2 linked regions of the Daphnia pulex genome follow. The protein of the gene in region 2 interacts with the protein of the main gene of each other region in a pairwise test. Links are inferred from orthologs where the notes say so. Each region holds a gene or a part of one and is shown on either strand. Other genes may lie near its edges.

Evidence for each region. The genes of interacting proteins can lie anywhere in the genome.
Region 1: the proteins of metaxin-1-like (region 2) and metaxin-2-like interact in a two-hybrid assay, tested with the Drosophila melanogaster proteins (2 studies listed by BioGRID). The link is inferred for Daphnia pulex from reciprocal best matches to the Drosophila melanogaster genes CG9393 and CG8004.

What each region holds. Positions count from the first base shown.
Region 1 is NC_060026.1:12,796,497-12,799,663, reverse strand, and holds metaxin-2-like, read left to right. Parts: upstream 1-1,290; 5' UTR 1,291-1,404; coding exon 1,405-1,450; intron 1,451-1,512; coding exon 1,513-1,640; intron 1,641-1,699; coding exon 1,700-1,816; intron 1,817-1,870; coding exon 1,871-1,963; intron 1,964-2,035; coding exon 2,036-2,200; intron 2,201-2,258; coding exon 2,259-2,335; intron 2,336-2,398; coding exon 2,399-2,591; 3' UTR 2,592-2,667; downstream 2,668-3,167. Other genes in the region: transcription initiation factor TFIID subunit 4-like, read left to right, coding at 2,836-3,167.
Region 2 is NC_060018.1:1,526,737-1,529,956, reverse strand, and holds metaxin-1-like, read left to right. Parts: upstream 1-1,171; 5' UTR 1,172-1,298; coding exon 1,299-1,385; intron 1,386-1,467; coding exon 1,468-1,614; intron 1,615-1,682; coding exon 1,683-1,952; intron 1,953-2,017; coding exon 2,018-2,252; intron 2,253-2,320; coding exon 2,321-2,475; intron 2,476-2,544; coding exon 2,545-2,577; 3' UTR 2,578-2,720; downstream 2,721-3,220. UniProt on the Drosophila melanogaster protein: Involved in transport of proteins into the mitochondrion. Essential for embryonic development.

The DNA of each region.
Region 1 (3,167 bases), on a different chromosome or scaffold from region 2:
TTGAAAGTCGAGAATTTCTTGAATAAACTAAAACAAATGTTTGGTAGTCGATTTCTACTGTGTTATATAATTTTCATCTGGCGTTTCTTGTTGACGTGTGACAACGTGGCGCTGTCTGCATTTGTTATGAGAAGTCGCTCAGCGCCATCTTGCGTTGGGAGCCTTGCCTACATGGTTGGAAAATAATTTGGTGACATTGTCAGTCAATTCAATTGAGAGAGTTGGCCGAGTCCCGTTGCGTTTTTTATTGCTCGAAAGCGCATTACGTGCATAATAAATGCAGTCGGATGAAAAATATTTTCCCGAATGATAAATATTGAAATGTCAAAAGTCTACGACTCTTCTCCGAAAAAGGTTTGGTCTGTCTGGGCTACGATGGGACGGCGATGACAAGGTCTGTTGACACAAGGACGTCAGATAGCACCAAACAACGCGATTCCTTGAATTTCTAATACAACAAACAAATGAAAAAGTCTCGAAATGGACCCTCAACGAAGATCTTCGTCATTGTCTCGTGGAAAAAGTCGGCAGAGCTCCCGGAAAACGTTTCGCATATCATTAATAATAAATCCCCGAATAGTTTGCCTTATTCGAAGGCTAAATATAGCTTGAAATTTCACTACAAAAAAGCGGTCAATGAAAAACTTGTGAATAACTTGATGTTGCGACCACTTTCGGCATCCTGGAAACAAGATACTGAATTGTTACGGTTTTTTTTAGCATCAATTGGTATCAATTACCATCACGAGAAAATAACGCGCACTTCGACAAATAATAGAACTTGGGTCAGAAATCAAGTTTTTTAAAGGTAAAAATCAGGAGCAGTAAATTAAAAACAGATTTCAAAACACACAAAAACAGGTCGGTCCTAGAGGGAAATTTACGCTTGCAAAAAGGGAACTGATTATTATGTGGAGCACGACGACGTGTTCTAGCGACATTCGCATTTCGCGGTACGATGTGGCAAGTACATTTCGTAGAAATGCATTTAGAAGGGCGTTGAAAAGCAGAAAGTTACGTTACAGGTGAACATTTAACTATATTTAATATAAAAAACAAATTGGTAGAAATATTTATTAATTAATACATTCTCTATCAACCTGTATTTTCACAGCAAAACATTTTGAATTTTGAATACGTTTGATTACAAATATAATTATGATTTATGATGCAATAATTATTTCAATGACAAATTTTTACTACAATTCTTAAATATCTAGTTACTAGTTGGTCAGTAAATTAAGCTTATTAGAAAAATCCAATTTTGAAATTTATTTTGGGTTCATCATTTTTGCGTAATTTGGCAACTCTGAATAAAAACCGCAGCAGCCGATCTAAAAATAATTCCGTATTGATGTTGTGATTTTCTTATTTTAGCCGATAAAAGTTTAATTCATTACGATAATGCCATCAGTTTTACTAACAGACTCTATTTCATTAGAGCTTGGAGGTAATCATTTTGGATATTTTATATTTTCACATTTATTTCTCACTTTTAAAAAAACCTAATAGCTTTGGAACCTTGGCCTTCTGACGTCAAACTTTATCAGCCCTATGAAGTTGAACAAATTCTATTGCAAGATCAAGCCAATTCTTTGGCTGTCCAAGTTTTTCTGCGAATGTGTGGTTTAGAATTTCAGGTAAATTGGAAAACTAAAACTAAGGAAATCTTAAGTTATTGATTTATTTCTTTTCTTAGGTGGAAATGAGAAGCAATGCTGAGCATATGTCACCATCCGGAAAATTGCCTTTCATAAAATGTGGTGCCTTTGTAGTAGCTGATCTTGACCCTGTTGTCAGTTTTGTGAGCAACAAGGTATTTTCAATATTTTCTCTACAATCCCATTTTATGACGTGTTTTTTTTTGTAGGGTATAAATCTTACAGATCACTTGGATGCTGCTCAAAAAGCAGACATGAGAGCTTACATGTCTTTAGCAAACAATATATTGGGAAATGCAGAGGTATTATATTATTATATTTGTAACTACTTTTGTGTGTTATGTGATTGATGAGCAGTGTTTGTTCCTACTTAGTTATATATCAGCTGGTGTGATGAAACTGTTTTGAATGAAGTAACTGGTCCTCGTTATGGCTCTGTCTATTCTTGGCCTTTGAACACTCTGCTAACCTGGAGAAAACAGAAACAAGTAACTAAGAAATTAACTGCTCTTGGCTGGATTACCAAAACACTTGATGAGGTGATTTGTTTGGTCTAATAGTTTTTGCATTAGAAAATTATTTATTATTTTCCTGCAGGTATATGAAGATGTTGATCATTGCTGTAATGCGCTAAGTGAGCGATTAGGAAACCACCTTTATTTCTTTAATGATAGGTATTAAATTTTTTAAAATGGGTTTCTAATAAAATAAGTGCTGACTTTGTTCCTCGTCATTAGATGCACGGAATTAGATGCGGTTGTCTTTGGCCATGTGTTTACTTTGCTGACCACACCGTTGCCCGACAATAGATTAGCATCCATTGTGCGATCCTACCCGAATCTGGTCGAGGCTTGCCAGTTCCTTGAGAAGACTTACTTCCAGAAACCAACCGCCAAGACAACGGACGATGACAGCGATAATTTTGACTAAGTTCAAATAGTATAGGAAAAGTTGTAAAGTTTATAATAGCCCCATACTTCTGAGATTTACACGCTATTATATTTCATTGATATGATATCCTTTAGAGTAAGCACACACGCGGTTATTAAATACAAGAGTAGAAAATTCAAAAAAATATAGTAAAGGGTTTGAAAAATGAACACTAGGTGGTTTGACTATGCTAGGGGAGGAGTGACACGTTTCAACGTTTTGCCGCTAGGGCAGAGGTTGGGAAATGAGCTGCTTACAGTCAGTTTGGGAACCGGGTTCGGAGCAGAAAATGGCGTCTAGCTTCCTGGACGATTTAATCTCGAACCCGTCAGCGGATGCCGACGCTGTCTCCGCGTTAGTTGGATCACTTGAGAGCCAGTTGAGTAATGCAAATGTTGGTGCTAGTAATAACACACAAGGCGGCGGCTTGGCTTTTACGACAAGCTCTACCTCGTCGGTTCCTCCACCGCTGCAGCCTGCCAATACCCCGTCCGCTGCCACCACAACGGCAACATTCGCGGGAAACGGCAGTAGCCTGCACGCAACAACAACTTGCGCGCCAGCAGCATCAGTTCC
Region 2 (3,220 bases):
GTTTTTTTAGAGATCCAGATTCTATGAATGGCTAGTGATGAATGAACGGATGACTAATACAAAATTTCGTGAAACTTTCACGGAATTACTTCATTCTACGTCAACCCAAGGTTTTGTCTTTCATGGGTGTTGTTGCACAAGAAACAAACAGTTGATTTTTACCAGCGAGTCTTCTGCGAAGGCCAACGCACGAAGAGTCAAGACGCGACAAGACTTTCTCTGAAGGTTGTTGGGGCAAGGATGGAAAAAACCAACAACCAACAACACATGGATCGGAAAATGTAGCTAAGCAGTAGCCAAAGGCTCGCTGCCGGCAGTTCATGTGGAAAGGCTTATGCTTATGTAGTTCAATAATTAACGTTTAAAATATCATGCATTCATGTTTCATGTTCATGCTTGAAGACTAAAAAATGCAGACGTGTAACTAAAACTCTGATTGGAATTTTGTTGTCGTGACGTAAAATGACCACTGGGAATCTTGTTTTACAAGGACGAAGTATGAAATGAGACATGGGAAATTGGCAATTCCCCAAAACTGCTATTCAACATATTTGAATAGGCTACTCTGTATATAGGTCCGCCCATGTAATACTTAAAACTTAAAATGTGAAAATGAATGAATAGATCGCGATTGTGAATTCGGGAAACCCTTCGATTAAAAATGGGAGGGACTGCCGGCCGCAATGTCGCATCCGCATTTCCGACCCCATTTTCCGATATGGATTCTATCCTAGACGAAGCTGTCCCCCACCCACCATCCGATAAAATGCATTTTCTACTCAGAGTGATAGGAACTAGAGGGTTCGTTCGAAAATCAAACGGTTTTCCTTGTTATTTTATATATTTTTGAGCGTATGGGTTGCAGGGGAAGCTCATGCGTGCATCGAGAGATTGGATTTTTCTACAAGGACGAAACCACTGACGCTTTCGCTTGATACAGCGTAACGTTTTCATAAAATTTTGTTTTAAACATTTCATATTTGAATTTTGAATTTTTGGGTTAGATATAACCGTACCAATCATAATATTTTTCGTTTATTGTAAAAAGAAAATTAAATTAATAATCATTCGTTCAAATATTTTCCGCCAGAGGCGCTAGCGAGAAGGACAAAATGGCTCAGAATTTGCCGCAACTCTTAAAGGAATACTTGGGCCCTTAATCTATAAAGTAAGTAAGCTTAGCAGACGCTTGCACTTGCCAAGATCCCGAGATTGTAGCATGTAACTTTGTTTATGTTGTTTTTTTAAAAAGCCCGTGTTACAATTGTGGATTTAAAGGATTCATTCCTATATTTGTGATGGCTTCACATCCAGTCATGGAACTTGATATTTGGAAAGGGGAATGGGGCCTACCATCAATTGACGTTCATTGCTTAGAAGTCATGGTAAGGCAAACAATAATAGGGTAAAATTTAACAAAAAATCCACGTTAGATAACACATTCTTTTTTTTTTTTACTCTTGTTAGACCTATGCCAAATTCTCCGGAACACGGCTGGTAACGAAGTCGACCAATAATCCTTTAAGAACACCCACTGGCTCTTTACCAGTTTTTCAACACGAGAATGAGTGCCTGACAAAATTTGGTGAAATATCAGCTTACCTCAGGAAGAATGTATAGGAATCTATTTTTTATATAATTGTTAATCTATAAATTAAAGATTTTTTGTTTTTCAAAATTAGAACCATACTGCAGATTTTGAACTATCTCCAAAACAGTGTGCTGAAGCATTTGCATACTCTCATCTCATTTATGAGAAGCTTGCTCCAGCACTTCAATTTGTGTGGTGGATTGATTCTAAAAATTTTGTTGAGTTCAGTCGTCCACTTTATGCCAAGCTTTTACCATTCCCTTTAAATTTCTATTATCCTGGTCAATATGAAAAACATGCTAAACAACTAATGGTTTCACTGTATCCTGAAGAAGAGGATTTTTCTGTCATTGAAACAGCAGTAAGTAAACTTGACGTAATTAAAACTGGTATTATTTGTATAACAGGGACTTTATTTTTTGCCAGGTTTATAGACAAGCTGAAGAATGTCTGAGCCTTTTAGCCACTAAACTTGGTGAAAAAGAATATTTTTTTGGACAATCGCCTTCGTCTTTGGATGCTGTAGTATTTGCTCACTTAGCTCCGTTATTGAAAGCTCCCCTGCCCAGTGCTGCTCTGCAAAACCACTTAAAAGCATGTACTAATCTCACTCGCTTCGTGGGACGTATATTGCAGCGATTTTTCCCGAAAGAAGTCAAGGGTACAGTTAAATTCTCAATGTTTCCTGCGACTATTCTTTATACATCTTCTTTTTTTGTCTTTCTGCTTTAGAGCAAGAACAGAAAGAGCGACAGCAAACTGCTAAGCAAGAAGCTCCATATTCTGATACTGACTTTCCAAACAAGTTGCGGAACATAAGTATTGCTGCGCTAGTTTCCTTCATCGCGATGATTGCCTATGCCACATCGGCCGGCATCATACAGGTAAATCGATTAATCGATAATTGATTTTAATACGTCACCCACTAACCTAGTGATTCGGCATTTTATTAGGTGGTGCCTGAAAGCGACGAGGATGAAGAGTGATTGCACTTCACGTCAATAGGATGAATAGTGTCCGTACTCATTATGCTTTTTTCAGTAGACACATGTGATCAAGTCCAGCTTGAAAAGAAAAAGCCTTTCCATACCATCAGAGTCGAATAAATCTGTGTGTATTTAGTCATCAAGCCCAACAAGTAAATCAAAACAATTTCATCGTGTTCATACGGGGGAGGATTGCCAATTTTTTTTTTTTTTATTTTATAATAAGAAAACTTTACTGTCGAGGAAACAAAATAAGAAATACATGAGGGGTGGGATGGTAGAAAGGAAACTCGGCGGACGCAATGGATAGGATACGTAAACTTTGGACTTTGGTAGATCTACACATGGGGGGGGGGGGGAAACAAGCGCTCTCGACGCGCTGTATCAGTTCCGTGATGCTCTGAATTGGGTTCGGAAAAGTGACGACGCTCTCAGCGTTTTCATGGGGCTCTCATGCGGAACGTATATATATATAGCTGATATTTCATGATGACTTGTACATTTTGTTCTTCCATGATTCTCTTTTCACCAGTCGCGCATTGTAATTCTTTCTTAAATGTTGGGAACTCTCGGGGGAAATTTGTCCGAGTCATGCCACCCGGATCGTCCAGGCAGTGTTGGGTCTCTGCACACACATTTTTAT